Linked DNA regions of Stegostoma tigrinum. Each later gene encodes a partner of the first gene's protein in a complex. Links are inferred from orthologs where the notes say so. Each region holds a gene or a part of one and is shown in the gene's direction. Other genes may lie near its edges.

Evidence for each region.
Region 2: lsm3 (region 1) and smx5 share a complex: the UniProt entries of both Homo sapiens proteins name them as parts of the precatalytic spliceosome. The link is inferred for Stegostoma tigrinum from reciprocal best matches to the Homo sapiens genes LSM3 and LSM2.
Region 3: lsm3 (region 1) and lsm6 share a complex: the UniProt entries of both Homo sapiens proteins name them as parts of the precatalytic spliceosome. The link is inferred for Stegostoma tigrinum from reciprocal best matches to the Homo sapiens genes LSM3 and LSM6.

What each region holds. Positions count from the first base shown.
Region 1 is NC_081364.1:2,891,695-2,897,734, forward strand, and holds the start of lsm3 (snRNA-associated Sm-like protein LSm3), read left to right. Parts: upstream 1-2,001; 5' UTR 2,002-2,082; coding exon 2,083-2,103; intron 2,104-6,040. UniProt on the Homo sapiens protein: Plays a role in pre-mRNA splicing as component of the U4/U6-U5 tri-snRNP complex that is involved in spliceosome assembly, and as component of the precatalytic spliceosome (spliceosome B complex).
Region 2 is NC_081387.1:26,631,403-26,637,442, forward strand, and holds the start of smx5 (smx5), read left to right. Parts: upstream 1-1,896; 5' UTR 1,897-1,995; coding exon 1,996-1,998; intron 1,999-5,205; coding exon 5,206-5,273; intron 5,274-6,040. UniProt on the Homo sapiens protein: Plays a role in pre-mRNA splicing as component of the U4/U6-U5 tri-snRNP complex that is involved in spliceosome assembly, and as component of the precatalytic spliceosome (spliceosome B complex).
Region 3 is NC_081354.1:46,943,559-46,949,598, forward strand, and holds the start of lsm6 (U6 snRNA-associated Sm-like protein LSm6), read left to right. Parts: upstream 1-2,594; 5' UTR 2,595-2,634; coding exon 2,635-2,728; intron 2,729-5,196; coding exon 5,197-5,310; intron 5,311-6,040. UniProt on the Homo sapiens protein: Plays a role in pre-mRNA splicing as component of the U4/U6-U5 tri-snRNP complex that is involved in spliceosome assembly, and as component of the precatalytic spliceosome (spliceosome B complex).

The sequences.
Region 1 (6,040 bases):
AGTGTTGTTCAGATTTGTACTTGTCAGTCACACATTGTAGCCATGGGCTCCACTTACTCTTGTCATTGCCATGGAAAAGGGTAATGCTCTCTTCCAAACTCCCCTGTCAGGCAGAAAATACTGAAGTTGAAAGCACACACCAACAGGTTCAAGAACAGCTTCTTCCCTGATGTTATCAGACTGCTGAGTGGACCTCTCAAGCCTCCAATAATGTTGGTGTTGCTTTTGTGCACCTTCTAATGTGGCTGTGACCTCCTGTGCCTCATAGAACATAGAACATTACAGCACAGTACAGGCCCTTCGGCCCTCGATGTTGTGCCGACCTGTCATACCGATCTCAAGCCCATCTAACCTACACTATTCCATGTACATCCATATGCTTGTCCAATGACGACTTAAATGTACTTAAAGTTGGCGAATCTACTACCGTTTCAGGCAAAGCATTCCATTCCCTTACTACTCTCTGAGTAAAGAAACTACCTGTGACATCTGTCCTATATCTTTGACCCCTCAATTTAAAGCTATGCCCCCTCGTGCTCGCTGTCATCACCCTAGGAAAAAGGCTCTCGCTCTGTCTAAGCAGCTTGTGATTTTTATATCTTTGTTTGCTATGATCTGCCTGTACCACATGCAAAACAAAACATTTCACTGTAATTAGGTACGTGACTATAATGAATCAAAGATAGCCTCCAAAGGTCTAGGCCCAAAACATCAGCTTTTGTGCTCCTAAGATGCTGCTTGGCCTGCTGTGTTCATCCAGCTTCAGTTTGTTACCATAGTCTCCAAATAGATCTCTTGTTGTTTGTAATCAAACTGCCTGGAGATGTAATGGCATCCTCCAGGACAGGTGGGACTTGAACATGGATCAAGAACCATTATCCCCCTCTTTCTATCCTTTGGAACATTACTACCTCTGTCTATATTTGAATGATTTAAAAAAAACATTATCTCTGGGCCATAATTTTCTACACCAATTCAATCTTCTACTATGATAAAACAAAGAATGGCATTTGCTGAAAATCTGAAACAACAGGAATTGCTGGAGAAATGTAGGGGGTCTGGCAGCATGTGTGGAGAGGAGGCAGAGTTAACATTTGGAGTCCGTGTTCTGAAGAAGGATCACTGGACTTGAAACGTTAACTCTGCTTTCTCTGCACAGATGCTGACAGACCTGCTGAGTTTCACCAGCAATTTCAATCTCCTACCACCTTGAGGCCATGAAAAGTGCTGTATAAATATAGCCCCTTTCTCAGGAGGTGTGGACTCGTTGGGCCGAAGGGCCTGTTTCCACGCTGTAGGGAATCTCATCTAATCAAGAGGTGCCAAAGCAACCACAGCTAACGATTATGAGGCCTCCAGTTCTGAGGAAGGGTCAGCGGACCCTAAACTCTGCTTTCTCCTTCACGGGCGCTGCCAGGCCTGCTGAGCTCTTCCAGCAACTTCTGCTTTCAGCTGCTGGAAAAGCTCAGCACCTGCAGCTCTTTTGGTTTTGTTCTTGATGATCATGACTCCTGCGGTGGATGGTAAAGGTCTGAACGATGGCAGAGGCTGATTGCATTGCATTTGGTTAAAAGTGTTTGTAAATTAGTCACTGCATGAAGAGGAAAAGCAACTTGAGGCATAGTTACCAGGAGGCAGCTGCTTTGCACACTTCACTGGGCCCTCTCTGACAGGTTTAGTTCTGCTGCAGTCCTTCTTCAATCTTTTGCAGGTAGCCTGGGTTGAGCTTTGGGTTTTTGACCCTTTCCTTTTGGCCATGTTCGCGCCTCCTGTAACTTGAGGAAAGGTGCAGTCAATCTCAGATGCTCTCCAGCCGCCTGTTATAAAACAGGGTTATACAACAGCAGCTTCCCCCGGAAGAAGGGGGCGGGGGGAGGTTAGAAAAGGAGGCGGAGAGATGTGCCCAGAGCTGGGCACTGATCCCCACTCTCACCTTCCCGCCGCACCGCGCACGCGCCAGTCACCCGCTCCTCCTCCTCCTCCCGGCCGCTGCGGGGCGCGGCAGCGGGAGGACCCGCTCCCCGCCGCTACCACAACGCGGTCAGCACGCATGCGCAGGTTGCAGTCACCCGGATTCAAACCATGGCGGAGGAGGGAGACCAGGTAAAAAAAACCCGGGATGGGGAATGTGAATGAGTGAGAGAAAAGAAAGAAAGAAGGAGTGAGTAAGTAGTAGGAGGAGGAGGAAGAAGGAAGGCAGGAAGGGGCGAAAAGAGAGGGAGGGTGTGAGTGTGAATAAATGAGAGAGTGAAAGGGAGAGGAGGGGGGAGGGAGAGTGTGGGGAGGGGGGAGGGAGAGTGTGGGGAGGGAGAGTGTGGGGAGGGAGAGTGTGGGGAGGGGGGAGGGAGAGTGGGGGGGGAGAGGAGGGGGAGTGAGGGGGGGAGTGGGTGAGGGGGGGGAGGAGTGGGTGAGGGGGGGGAGGAGTGGGTGAGGGGGGGGAGGAGTGGGTGAGGGGGGGGGAGAGTGTGGGGGGAGAGGAGGGGGAGGGAGAGTGAGGGGGGGTGTGAGGAGGGGGAGGGAGAGTGAGGGGGGGTGTGAGGAGGGGGAGGGAGAGTGAGGGGGGGTGTGAGGGGGGGGAGTGGGTGAGGGGGGGTGTGAGGGGGGGGAGTGGAGTGGGTGAGGGGGGGTGTGAGGGGGGGGAGTGGAGTGGGTGAGGGGGGGTGTGAGGGGAGGGAGTGGAGTGGGTGAGGGGGGGTGTGAGGGGGGGGAGTGGAGTGGGTGAGGGGGGGTGTGAGGGGGGGGAGTGGAGTGGGTGAGGGGGGGGAGTGGAGTGGGTGAGGGGGGGGAGTGGAGTGGGTGAGGGGGGGTGTGAGGGGGGGGAGTGGAGTGGGTGAGGGGGGGTGTGAGGGGGGGGAGTGGAGTGGGTGAGGGGGGGTGTGAGGGGGGGGAGTGGAGTGGGTGAGGGGGGGTGTGAGGGGGGGGAGTGGAGTGGGTGAGGGGGGGTGTGAGGGGGGGTGGAGTGGGTGAGTGGGGGTGGGGGGGGAGTGGGGGAGGGAGTGGGTGAGGGGGGGGGGAGTGTGGGGGAGGTGGGCATTTAGAACAGCTCAAGATAATTGGAAAGAGCAACCTTGGTTTTGTAACATGGAAATGAGTAGGGGGGTAGAGAGAAGGGGTGAGTGAGAGTGTGGGAGGGAGAGAGGACAGAGTGGAGAGAGAGAGTGTTGGGAGAGGAGAGAGTGGGAAAGAGCGAGAATGCGGGAGGACAAGGGAAGGGGAAATAGGGGTAGAAAGGGAAATGGCTGGGGAGATTGTGGGAGACAAGAGCCAGTAGAGAGGGTTTGGGGACAAGGGTGTTAGGTAGTGGATTGTGATTGAGAGAGAAGGGCAGGGGAGAGAGCGTGTAGGGGGAGGTGTGGGTGGAATGGGGGGACAAAATAGGAAGGGGAGAGGTCAGCGAAGTGGTTGGGGGGGGAAACAACGTGTGGGGTGAGAAGGGCGATTAGGAAGAGATCAAGGAGGGTGAGGAGATATAGGAGGTGAAAGGGCTCAGGAGAGTGAGGTGGGGATGGGGTGAGAGTAGGTGAGATACAGTAATTGTAGGGAACAGGAAGTAGGAGAGAGAGCAGGGGAAGGGAGACAGAGTGTGAGTCCTGCCCATTGTCTGAGGACAGTATTGATGGGATAGAGGTAGGTGAAAGACAGGGGGGAACAAGGCTGGCATACATTTGGGGAATTGGGTGTTGCGATATGGCAGGCAAGGCTGTTACATGCAAGGCATTGAGCAGTTTGATAGAGCTATGAGCACTCAAGATCCTGGGTTCATATGGACTTTACCCTAGAATCTTAAAACATTGGTAACGAAGTTAGTGGATGTATTGCTTTCAATTTTCTGAAATTCACTTGATTCTGAAAAGGTTCCATTAAATTGGAAAATAGCAAATATTAACCCCTCTATCCCAGAAAGGAGGGAGACAGGAAACTCGGCTTCGTGTTCTTTCATGGAAGGTGTTACGAGTTGATCATTAAGGAGGTTATAACTGGGCGTTTAGAAAAGCTCAAGATAATTGGAAAGAGCAAGCTTGGTTTTTTAAAATGGAAATCATGTTTAACAAATCTATCGAAGGTTTTAGGAATTAACAAGCTGTGGATGAAGTGGGGCTCATCGATGTACTAGACTTGGATATCCAGAAGGCAGTTTGATAAAGTTCCACAGAAAAGGAGAGCTCATGGCGTAGATAGTAAAATACTAGCACAAGGACAGAGTTGGCAGGTAGAAAAGAGTTTGCAGATTTTTTAACCAACTTGTTCGGCATATTATGACACAAATGCAGTAAGGCCTAGATAGTATCCAGGCTTGAACTGAAAAGTGGCAAGTAACATTCGCACCACACAAACGCAAGGCAATGACCATCTCCTATAAAAGAGAATCTAAACATTGCCAAAGCCCCCAAACATCATGAGGCATCGCTGAATTCTCTATTATAAACAGTCTGGGGATTACCATTACCGGAAACTCCATTAGATTTGCAAAATTAATACAGTTGTGGCACATTGGTACTGTCTGTACCTCTGGCACTGGGTTCAAGTACCACCTGCTCCAGAGGTGTGTAATGCCATCTCAGGTTGATAAGAAAATATATATGAATACATTGGCTATAAGGCAGGTCAGAGGCGAGGAATATGGCAGTGAGTAACTCGCCTCCTGACTTCTAAAAGCCTGTCCACTATCTGCAAGATCTACCATGTACTGTACTGTTTGGAGTGTGTTGGAATACTCCCCACTTGTTCGGATGAGTGCAGTTCAAACAACACTCGAGAAGCTCAACACCATCAAAGCATACCACTTGATTGGCACTCCATCCACCACTGACGCAACAGTGTGTACTTTCTACAAGATGCATTGCAGGTATTCATTGAAGATATTAAACGTAATCTTTCAAACCGATCACCTCTTAAGGACAAGGGCAGCAGATATGTGGGAACACCACTCCTGTAAGTTTCCCTCCAAGCCACTCACCTTCCTGATTTGAAATTTTTTGCTGTTCCTTCACTGTCACTGATTCAATATCTCGGGATCTCCCTTCATAATGGTGTTGCGAGTGTACCAACAGTGCGTGGAGAGATTTAAGAAGGCAACTTACTACCACTACCTCAACAGCAACTAGGGATAGGCAATAAATGCTGGCTTAGGCAGCGATGCTCATGTCCACTAGTGAATTTAAAAAAGAATCTCTTGAGCAGGTGAGATGTGAATCTGGTCCTTCTGGCCCTGAGTTAAGGACATTACCACATGGCGATAAGTGCCCTTAGAAAGTATAGATAAATAGGACTTTTACTGACTGGTAGGATGTGATGAAGATTAACGTTCCACAGTGATCTATGCTGGAACCACAATATTTTATAGTTTATGTCAGTGACTTTGTGTGGATTGAGCTTATAGCAACTACATTTGCAGATGGCACAAAGATTGGGAGGTATGATCATACTAGTACCTTTTATAATTTTAGCAAGATTGATGTGTTTTTATATTCCATTCCCTTTGAAATAATGACTAGCGATCTATTAGTCTTCCCTATGGGCTGCTGCACTCGTATGTTTTCCTCTTGTGGTTCATGCTTCTGAGGGTTGAGAGATTTTGGAATTCACTGCCAGAGAAAGTGGTGGAGACAATATCATTGAATATTTTTAATTCAGTGGTAGATACGCTTTTGCCAGGCAGGAGAATCCAAGTTAATTGGGAGTAAATGTGAATGTGGAAGTTGAAACAGAAACGGATTATCTACAACCTGATTGAATCCTGGAGCAGGATTGAGGGGATGTAGATTTCACTGTCTGGGCTGGATTTGATTGTCCCTACTTTGCTTTTGAGAAGATGGTGGTAAGCTGTCTTCTCAAACATCTGTAATCCACATTGTGTGGGTACACCCATAATGCTGTTAGGGACTGAGTCCAGAATTTTGACCTATGAACAGTGAAATATTTCCAAATCAATGGAGTAGATTGGATGTGAAATTGAAGATAGAGCCTTTGCCCTTCTGGTTGGTAACAATAAGTTTGGAAGGTAACAAAATGTGAGGCTGGATGAACACAGCAGGCCAAG
Region 2 (6,040 bases), on another chromosome or scaffold:
TGGGTCAAATGGTGTAATTTTACTCCTGCATCTTAATGGGTAAGCCTTGCAACTTTGCTCTCACGTCACCCTTTTTCATGATGAGGATTGGGCCTCATTACTGAATACTGATGTTGACTTCCTGCTTAATAAACTCTCCTTTATCTCCCTAAAACATGCCTGCTGAATCTGAATCCTCATTTACGTCTGTTGTTGGTACCTATATGAACTATGATCTCCAGCTGATCAACCCCCATTTCACCATGTTTGCAACTGCCTAGTGACATCCTGCATCCTTACAAAAGAAAGGCACTCTGACATCCTGGAGTAACATCTGTGGGTGAAAGAAAACATTCTATTCTCTGAACTAAGACGCTTCCACCACTATCACACATCCTGTCTTCTTCTTTCCCTTGACAACTGAGTCACATATGATGCCGTGACCTGTCTCACTGTACTTTCCAGGAAATGTATCACTTCAGCAGTATTCTGAATGAAATCCTGGTCAGGCATGAACACAGAACTGCACAGCACAGGAATGGGCCCTTCAGCCCACTATGTTGTGCCAAAAAGGACACCAAATGAAACTAATCCCTTCCTGCCCTTGAAAAATATCCCACCATTCCTTGCATATTCATGGGCTTATCTAAAAATCCTATTGCCTCTATTGTATCTGCCTTCACCACCACCACACCTGGCAGTACATTCCACCCCAGTGCAAGATAAACAGATGTGGGATTGACGATGACGAGGAAGAGTGAGAGTAGAAGATGACGACAAGATGGAAGGTTTATGATAGGCTGGAAGGCAGCAGAAATCAAATGAAGAAAAGGATGATGGTACATGGGGTACGCTAAAATTGGGGTGACAATTAGGTGTGAAAATGCCAAAGGTGTGTGGTGAAAGGATATAAATCAGCATCAAATGGCATTTAAAAAAAGATTTTTAAAGTTACAAAATGGAGTCAAAAGCTATGATCAGAAATTTCTGTGTGATCTTACAAACTGCCTTATTGAAAGATGAGATAGTAAGAACAGTCAATGCTGGTGTCAGAGGCAGTAAAGGAGTAGGAAAGTTGATGTTTCAGGTCAGGACCCTTCTTCAGAAATCCAGAAATTCTGAAGAAGCATCCTTACCCTAAAAAAAATCAACTTTCCTACTCCTCTGATGCTGCCTGGCCTGCTGTGTTCCTCCAGCTCCACACTGCGTTACAATGAAAAGGTAAGTTGCCTAATCTTCAGTTTGCATTCAGCCTCACAGGGAAGGTGCATTTCATCTCTTCAACCATCTCACAGGCATTCTCTCTTGTTCTTTCCTCTAATCTCCTCTTGCTCTGCCCCTGTACTTGCAGCAAAGTTGTTGCATCTCTAGCTTTATCCAGTACTGGATGAAGAGTCATCAGCCTGAATGATTAGCTTTGTTTCACTCATTGAGTCATGAAAGGACAGGAGGTGGCCATTCCATCCATTTAATCCACGTTAGCTCTAGTACAGCAGCCTTATCAATCTTGTTACTCTGGTCTATCCCAGCATCCCTGCTGGTGTATTTCTCTCAAGTGTTCACAGAACTTTTGAGTCAAACTCATGCAGCATGGAAACCGACCCTTTGGCCAATTACAGGGCGACCAGGTTTCCTAAACTGAACTCTACCTACCTGCACTTGGACAATATCCCTCCTAACCACGTACCCGTCCAAACGTCTTCTAAATGTTGTCATTGTAACTGTATTCGCCTCCAGCAGCTCAAACAACATGTACACCACCCTCTGCGCGGGAACGTAGCCCCTCGAATCCCTTTTAAATCTTTCCCCTCTCGCCTTAAGCCCAATGTGCAGCCGGATGAATACTTCCAGCCGCTTGGCAGGCTGGTAGCACGTCAATCAAACGAAAAGGCGGGAACACAGGTGACACAGTGGGCAGGGATCGGCGGAATTCTCGCGATATCGGGCGGTCCGTCCGCGCGCAGGCGCCGCGGGTTTGAACCGGTTTGACTGGGAGCTGCCGTCATTGTCGGTGCCATGGTGAGTGAGAGAGGGTCTGAGAGAGACCGGGCCCGGGGGGGAGAGAGAGTCTCACAGGGACCGGGCCCGGGGAGGGAGAGAGAGTCTCACAGGGACCGGGCCCGGGGAGGGAGAGAGAGTCTCACAGGGACCGGGCCCGGGGGGGAGAGAGAGTCTCACAGGGACCGGGCCCGGGGTGGGGTGGTGAGGGAGAGTCTTACAGGGACCGGGCCGGGGGGGTTGAGGGAGAGAGTCTCACAGGGACAGGGACCAGGCCGGGGGGCAAGAGTGAGTGAGTGAGGAGGTAGGAAGTGGAGGGATAGGGACGGAGATAGAGTGTGAGTGACTGTCTCACAGAGACCAGACCGGGGGACGGAGTAGAGAAGCAGGTTGAAAGACCCTACGGTAGGCTATTGCATAAAATGCGGAGGCATGTGATTGAGGGTGATTTAGCGGTTTGGATCAGAAGTTGGCTAGTTGAAAGAAGACAGAGGGTGGTAGTTGATGGGAAGTGTTCATCCTGGAGACTAGTTACTAGTGGTGTACCGCAAGGATCTGTTTTGGGGCCACTGCTGTTTGTAATTTTTATAAATGACCTGGATGAGAGCATAGAAGGATGGGTTAGTAAATTTGCAGATGACACTAAAGTCGGTGGAGTTATGGAGAGTGTGGAAGGATGTGGTGGGTTACAGAGGGACATTAGATAAGCTGCAGAGATGAGCTGAGAGGTGGCAAATGGAGTTTAATATGAAAAAGTGTGAGGTGATTCACTTTGGAAGGAGCAACAGGAATCCAGAGTACTGGGCTAATAGTAAGATTCTTGGTAGTGTGGATGAGCAGAGAGATCCTTGTGTCCATGTACATCGATCCCTGAAAGTTGCCACCCAGGTTGATAGGGTTGTTAAGAAGGTGTACGGTGTGTTAAGTTTTATTGGTAGAGGGATTGAGTTTCGGAGCCATGAGGTCATGTTGCACGTGTACAAAACTCTGCGGCTGCACGTGGAGTATTGCTTACAGTCCTAGTCGCTGCATTATAGGAAGGATGTGGAAGCGTTGGAAAGGGTGCAGAGGATATTTACCAGGATGTTGCCTGGTATGGAGGGAAGGCCTTATGAGGAAAGGCTGAGAGACTTGACGCTGTTTTCATTAGACAGAAGAAGGTTAAGAGGTAACCTAATAGAGACATACGAGATGATCAGAGGATTAGATAGGGTAGACAGTGAGAGCCTTTTTCCTCAGATAGTGATGGCTAACATGAGGGGACATAGCTTTAAATTGAGGGGTAATAGATATAGGACAGATATAGAGGTAGGTTCTTTACTCAGAGTAGTAAGAGCGTGGAATGCCCTGCCTGCAACAGTTGTAGACTTGCCTAAGTTTAAGGGCATTTAAATGGTCATTGGATAAGCATATGGATAATAATGGAATAGTGTAGGTTAGATGGGCTTCAGTTTGGTTTCACAGGTTGGCGTGACATTGAGGGCCGAAGGGCCTGTACTGCGCTGTAGTGTTCTATGTTCTGTGTTCTAGACAGAGCCCTATAGTGATGGTGAGGGGTGGGGGGTGAGAGGGGGAGGGGGGGGAGAGAGAGAGAGAGAGAGAGAGAGACTGTGTGTGTCTCATTGGGTGAGTAGGAGAGAAGGATGGAAGGAAGAGTGGAGAGTTTCACAGATTGGGGGAGGGAAGGAGAGACACAGAGGAAAGGGGGAGGGGAGGGAGAGAGATAGTAAGGAGGCAAGAGAGAGCGCGAAGAGAGAGATTGGGTAAAGGAGAAGGGTGGTGGCTGTGCTGGTCATTCCCACATTCCATTTAAAGAATTTTTAAAAAGCAACTTAATGTCATAACCATTTGACTCAGTCAAGCGCAGGAAGTTGTTGAGCTTTGCCATAGAACATAGAAAAGTACAGCACAGTACAGGCCCTTCAGCCCACGATGTTGTGCCGTGGAATAATCTTAATCCAAAAATAAAATAACCTAACCTACATTCCCCTCAATTCACTGCTGTCCATGTGCATGTCCAGCAGTCACTTAAATGTCACTAATGATTCTGCTTCCACGACTACCACTGGTAAAGTATTCCATGCGCTCACAGCTCTCTGGGTGAAGAACCTCCCTCTGACGTCTCCTCTGTACCTTCCTCCTAACACCTTAAAACTATGACCCCTCGTGGCATTCAATCCTGCCCTGGGGAAAAGTCTCTGGCTATCGACTCTATCCATGCCTCTCATTACCTTGTACACCTCGATCAGGTCACCTCTCTTCCTCCTTCTCTCCAGAGAGAAAAGTCCAAGCTCAGTCAACCTCTCCTCATGACAAGCCCTCCAGTCCAGGCAGCATCCTGGTAAACCTCCTTTGCACCCTCTCCAAAGCCTCCACATCTTTCCTATAATAGGGCAACCAGAACTGGACACAATATTCCAAGTGTGGTCTCACCAGGGTTCTGTAGAGCTGCAGCATAACCTCGTGGCTCTTAAACTCGATCCCCTTGTTAATGAAAGCCAAAACACCATATGCTTTCTTAACAACCTTATCCACTTGGGTGGCAACTTTGAGGGAGCTATGCACTTGAACACCAAGATCCCGCTGTTCCTCCACACTGCCGAGAATCCTGCCTTTAATCCTAAATTCAGCATTTAAGTTCGACCTTCCAAAATGCATCACTTCGCATTTATCCAGGTTGAACTCCATCTGCCATTTCTCAGCCCAGCTCTGCGTTCTGTCAATGTCTCACTGAAGCTAGCAATAGCCCTCGATACTATCAACGGCACCTCCAACCTTTGTCATCAGCAAACATACTAACCCACCCCTCAACCTCCTCATCCAAGTCATTTATAAAAAGTACAAAGAGCAGAAGCCCAAGAACAGAGCTCTGCGGGACACCATTCAGCACTGACCTCCAGGCAGAATACTTACCATCTACAACCACTCCCTGCCTCCTGTCAGCCAAATCACCCTGTATCCCATACCTCCTGACTTTATGAATGAGCCTGCCGTGGGGAACCTTATCAAATGCCTTGCTGAAGTCCATGTACACCACGTCCACTGCTCGACCCTCATCAACCTGTCTCGTGACTTCCTCAAAGAACTCAATAAGATTTGTAAGGCATGACCTGCCCCCCTCAAAGCCATGCTGACTCCCTTTATTCACACATGATCCAACAAAGTTTTAAATTTAGCTGTTTTGATTACACAAGAATTCCTGAGCTCATTCTTTTATCTTTGTTTCAGTTGTTTTATTCGTTTTTCAAATCCCTAGTTGGGAAAGATGTTGTTGTCGAGTTAAAGAATGATCTCAGGTAAGTTCTCCTTGTGCTTGTGTCAGTAGGGTGAAGTGTGGCTGTATAAGTAATGTCATTGGTGAGTGTTGTGACCAAGCTCTCTACTAGTGGCGTTAACTTTTCTTCAAAACAAAAAGGAATATTGCAATAAATGATGCCTTCATTTATAAGGTGATAAGTGGCTACACATACAGTCTAAATGTGACTGCTCAGTGGAATACTGCATGAGCTTATTTAAGATCAGTGTGTTCTTTTTTAATTTGTCTAGCCGTTGCTCTTATTATAAATGAAGGAGAAGAAAAAATGCATTTGGGAGTAGTGCTTGAACTGTTGATTGTTCAGAACGCTGCGTCTATGTATTTAATTGATTGAAATCAATCCAACTATTCATTACGGTGAACAATTGATGTTAAAATCCATCAGATTTTGCTTAAAGAGACAAGAAAATCCCACTTGCGGTTTGAAACTGTTTAAAAGTGCATTGAGGTTGTAACTGCACCTACTTGGTTGGATCATGGTCATCAAAAGTTGTAGTCTGTCCCCTGAGGTAGCAACACCATTCCAGATAAGGGATTACTGTATCCAAAACACACTTTTGGAAAAGCATATGGACAATGTAAAATGGATGAAGTATTATCTACCTGTTTACTTTTCTTCAGTATTTTGAAGGTAACACATTCATAAGATGGGTGGCTCAGTGGTTAGCAGTGCTGCATCACAGCACCAGGGAACTGGTTTTAATTCCACCCTCAGGCAACTGTCTGTAGAGTTTACACGTTCTGCCT
Region 3 (6,040 bases), on another chromosome or scaffold:
GCTGCGCACTCTCCAGTTCCTATAACGTGGTGACCAGAACTGCATGCAATGTTCTACCTGTGTCTCACCAAAGTTCTTTACAACTCCAACATGACTTCCTTGCTTTTGTATTTTATGCCTCGATTGATAAAGGCAAGTGTCCTGTATGTCTTTTTCGCCACTTTACAGACATGTCCTTGGGTCTTCAGTGGATAAATACTCCAAGGTCCCTTTGTCCACAGAACTTCCTGGTGTCATTCTGATGATTGAATACTTCTTTGTCAGATTACACCTTTCAGATCGTATTAACTCATGCTTTTCATGGTTAAGTTCCACCTGCCATTTATCTGCCCATTTGAGTATCCTGTTTATATGCTTTTATCACTCAAGACACTCAAGCTCACTGTTAGGCATCTGACCCATCTTTGAATTTTCCGCAAACTTACTAAACCAAACCCCCGCACAATCATCTAGTCATTTATGTAAACGGCAAATAAAAGAGGACCCAGCACACCTGCCTGTGGTATGCCATTGGTTACTGACTTCGATTCACTAAAGCAGCCTTCTACATTCACCCTCTGTCTGTCGCAACTGAGTAAAGTTTTAATCCACTTTATCAGATTACCCTGTATCCTGTGTGCATTTGCCTTCATGATAGGTCTCCCGTGTGGGACCTTGTCAAAGGCTTTGCTGAAATCCATATAAACTGCAGCAACTGCACCACCCTTTTCTATACACTGGTCACCACATCAAAAAATTCAATCAAATTTGTTAGCATGATCTCCCTCTGCCAAAGCTATGCTGACCATCTCTGATCAAACCTTTCCTCTCCAAGTGGAGGTAGATGCTCTCCTTCAGGGTTCTTTGGCTTATTTCTGCAACCTTCCTTAAATATCAGAACCACGTTAGTCCTCTGGTACCTCACCTGGAGCCAGAGAGGAATTAAAAATTTGGGTCAGTGGCATTGCAATCTCCTCCTTGTCCTCCTACAACAGCCAAGGACACAATTTCATTTTTTCCTTTATTCATTCATGGGATGAGGGTGTGGCTGGCTTGGCAGCATTTATTGCCCATCCCTAATTGCCAAGAGGGCAATTAAAAGTCAACCACATTGCTACAGACCTGGAGTCACATGTAGGCCAGACTAGCTAATGAAGGTGGTTTCCTTCTCTAGAGGACATTAGTGAACCAGATGGGTTTTTCCAACAATGACATTTGATCCATGGTCATCATTAGACTCTTAATTCCAGATACTTATTAAATTCAAATGCTACCATTGGCCATGGTGGAATTCAAATCCAGGTCCCCAGAACATTATCTGGGTCTCTGGATTAACAGTCCAGCGATAATACCAGTAGGCCTTTTTGTTTGGACCCAGAGATTTGTTCATCTTTAAGCCTGCCAGCACCTCCAAAACCTTGTCCTTCCCTATGGCAATTTGCTCAAGCACCTCGCAGTCTCTTTCCCCCAGGGTTCTATATCTTCATCTTCATTTTCTTAAGTGAAGATAGATGATATTGGGTCACGACTTTACCTTTGTCCTCTGGCCCCAGCCACAAATTGCCCACTTGTTCCCTAATGGGGCCTGCTCTCACCGTGGTTACACTCTTTCCCCCTTGATGTATTTATACTTGTAGAATATCTCTTGGTGTTTTCCCTACTTTTACCATATCCCCTTTTGCTTTCCTAATTGCCATTAATCTCCATTAATGCCTCTGCTTGTGCCTGCCTCTTTTCTCCCTTCTTATCGTATCCTGAATATCTCTGATCATCCATGGTTCTCTGGGCTTGTTATTCTTTCCCGTATCCCTGGAGGGAACATGTTAGGCTTGTACCCTCTCCATTTACTTTTTGAATGTTCCCCACTGTTCTTCTGTAGTTTTCCTCACTAGTCTACCAGATCCTAATGTATTTTACTAAAATCTGCCCTTTGCCTCCATCCAAAACTCTTTTTTTCTTGCAAGTTACCTATTTCTTTTTCTATATTCAGCTTAAATTATACCATGTTGTGATTGCTATCACTAAAATGCTCCCTCACCACCACCAGAATTGGGACCAGGACCCTCTGTATATTGGCCTAAAAGGTTCTCCTGTACATATTTCAAGAAATTCACTCAATCCAAGCACTTAACATTATGTCTATCCCAGGTAATGTTGGGAAAGTTGAAATCACATGTTATAATTATCCTTAGTTGTTATTTTTACACACATCAACAAATGGTGCAAAAATTTGCTCCTCAATTTCCTGTCAGCTCTCTGGGAGTCTACAATAAACACTTAGCAATCCAGCTGTCCCTTTTTTATTCCTAAACTCTACCTACAAAACTTCATCCACAATTTAAATAACAAATTATATTGAAGTTCTCTTTCTTTCCTGGAAGTATCCAGCTTTTACTCTGCAATTAATTTAAATTACTAAATTTAAATTGATGCTTTTGGAGATAAAGAAAGAATTTTCTGCTAATACTAGCCACTGCCTTTTTGCTTGTCATTCACTCATCCTCTTTCTCACTAGTGCTCTCAACTGATGATAACAGTTTGTTATAATTGTAGAAGCCCATGTCAGTTCTTTGCAAAGTTGGTTCTGAATTATGTGTGCTTGTATTGTCATTTAGGAAATGTTTCTGTTCTGATGCAGGCTGAAGGATTAAAAAAATGAGCCTGCGAAAGCAAACACCAAGTGATTTTCTAAAACAGATCATCGGGAGACCAGTGGTAGTCAAACTGAACTCGGGCGTGGATTATCGAGGTACGGTAAGCCCTCACTTAAAATTGTATTTGAATTCCTGAAAATTTCAACTTCAAGTGAAATAACTGAGTGAACCATGAGTTGCCATAGGGATCAGGTTTAAAACTACTGTTGGGACCTTTTGGACATTCGTTCCTGGACAAACCAAATGAACAAGTCAAAATAGCATTTTTCACATGTGCAACACTGCATTCCTATTGAAATAATTTGCAAAACAGAACAAGTCATTTGAAATGTTAAAGAAATTCTATATAAATTGAAGAGGGCTATGCAATAAGAGCCAGACGTGAGAATACATGTGGTTGGATAGCTGCTTCAAAAGCCAGCACCAAAGTGATAGGCCGAATAACTTTCTTTTGTGGTGTAAAATTTTGATTAGTCCATGATTCAAGAGAAGTTAAAGGAAGGTCCCTAATCCTAGTCCACTATCCCTTAATCTAACTTCCTCAGGTAGTCTTATTGTATTTTCTTCTGTAAGCTTCTGGAACCTTTTCCCCTTCCCACCTCGTATAGTGCTTCCAGTCTTACAGTGAAGTGCATTTTTAAAAAAAATCACAGAATGCTGTATTTTCATTTTTGCATTTTTTAATCTCCTCCATATTTAGTGTGTAGTTGCCCTGATGATTTTCTTTCTGTCATTATTAGCTCTTAGGACAAAACATTTAATCCTGTACCATGGATATAAGCCCTACAGTCCCTTCAAATGAATTTCCAGTCTTCTTTGCCTGAATTTCAATAGATTGTCATAATATAAAAATTCACTTGTAACCTAATTCACAGCTATGATGTTCAACTTCAGTGTTGCACGTTTCTGTTGGCAAGTGCGTTCACAAACTTGGTAAAATCAGAAGTCATGCCGTAAATTGATTAGGGAAACAGGCCTTGAAGAATAAATATCTTTAAAACAAAACAATGCGAAACAAAACCACTTAAAGTGAGGACTTACTGTATTGGAATCGTCCCCCTCAGCTGCTTAAACGCTAGTTTAAAAAAGACCGGGTCACAAAATCACCGAAGACTTTTTGGCAAAGAAGGAGGCCTTCTATCTGCACTGTTAAATGAGCATCATTACCCAGAGCTGATTTCCTGCTTTCCCCCCAAGCCCTTGCATATAATTTCAGCTGGTGAGTTCATGAATGCCTCAATGGAACCTAATTCCACCACAATTCTAGGCAGTAAATTCCATACCCTAACTGAAGGAAGGTAATTTTCCTCACTTCACCCTTGCTTACTTTGCACTCTAGATCACTTCATATCTATGTTCTTGAAACAAATAAGAACAGTTTCTCGCTGTCACTCTCCTGTCTAGCCCTTACATGATCTTGAAAACCTCTATCAGATCTACGCTTAGCCTTTTACAAATCGCTTCAGCAATTTGTTCAATGTGTTCACATCTTTCCGATAACATGGCACCCACAACTGTACCCAGTACTCTAGCAGAGGTCTAACAAGTGTCTATATAAGTTCAGCATCACCTCCTTGCTCTTGCACTCCACTAATTAATCTGTGGCTACTGTATGCTTTATTTATTGCTCTCCCTTTATCTGTCCTGCCACTTTCAAAGATCTGTGCACATACACACCCAGGTCCCTATGCTCTTGCATCCTCCATAGTGTGCCTACTATTTAATATTGGCTTTCAATGTTCTTCCTACCAAAGTGTTTCAACCTGCACTTCTCTGCATTGAAATGCATCTACTGCCCATGTGCCCACTCCACCAACCTTTTCCGCACTATATATCTTTTGCAAGCTTTGAAATTGCCCCTGCACATCAAGATCCAGATAATTAATATCTATCAGGAGAAGCAAGGGCCCCAATACTGACCCCTGGGGATCTCCTCTTAAAAACCTTTGCCCAGTCTAAAAATATATTACTCTATTCATTTTGCTAGTGACCCTTTTATAACATGAGCTATAACTTTCCTCACAGGTCTGTGTTGTGGCACTGTACCAAACACCTTTTCAATATCCGTGTGCACCACCTCAACAATGTTATCTTCTTCAAGCATTTTTGTTTCCTGTTCAGAAAGCTCCAAGTTAGTTTAACACCATTTTCCACTTTAGGAAGAATCAGTGTGGATTTCTAATCAACCCGCCATTTTCCATGTGTTTATTAATTCTATCCTGAATAATTGTCTCAAAACTTCCCCAATGCTGAAATTAACCTGATTAGTCTGTAATGATTGGCTTATCCTTGGCATCTCCTCCAAGACCAGGGGAGACTGAAAGATTGTGGCCAGTACCCCTGCAATTTCCACGCTCATTATATAAATGATGAAAAGTAATGGACCCAACGTTGACCCTTGTGGCACACCACTGGCCACAGGCCCCCAGTCTGAAAAGCAACTGTACATCACCACCCATGATCTTCTACCTTGGAGCCAGTTCTGCATCATTGCTATGTTACACCGAACATTCTAATAATGGGTTTTAATAAATTTTAATTACAGTTGTATCATTTTTGCCAGGTGTTTTGGCCTGTCTGGATGGTTATATGAATATAGCATTGGAACAAACAGAAGAATATGTAAATGGTCAACTTAAGAACAAGTATGGAGATGCATTTATTCGAGGCAACAATGGTAAATTCACTTCTTTCCTTTCTAAATAAAATTTGAAAGTTATGCTTTATAATGGACTGTAAAACTACAACTGTATATTGAGAAAGTTTTTGAAAAAAAGCATTCTTCCCAGGACTGATTAGTTGCTTGCATGACTCTTTTGTGCTTTCTGTCTGACACTGTTTCTTTCAGTATTTTGTTTCTGTATCATTTTCTGTCTCTTTCCTGAAGAAAACCATGCTGTTTGTTTTAAAACACACTAAATCCTTGATGCCCATGAGGAATAGAGCGTGGACCTCCCACAGATACCCAAAAAACATGAATACCATGGATATGCTAAGCCTTTCCTCTATGCAGCCAATACATGCCCAATGAAATAGAAGCATGCCCCATGTTGGAAAAGCATTGAAACATTTCAACAAATACAGTTAAACTTCTAAATATATGCATTACTTAAAAGGAAATTATATTACTGTAGTTAACAAAGCAATATTTTGTAGTAAAAATGCATAGGCAGTGCAGTACTCTATTCAATACTGGTACAGTATTAGATGAAATATGCAGGATCTTAGTTGATGTCTGACAGCATCAACTGTTGATGAGGAAATGGCGACTGGAAGCAAGACGGTAGCAAGGAAGAGGTATGCAGTTAAGGTTTCATCTGCTGGCTGTGCACTTGCTTGGCTTTTGTAAAGTGCATCGTATAGGAAGTTGTCATAACTTCTTTAATTCATTATTAATCTCTGCTTAA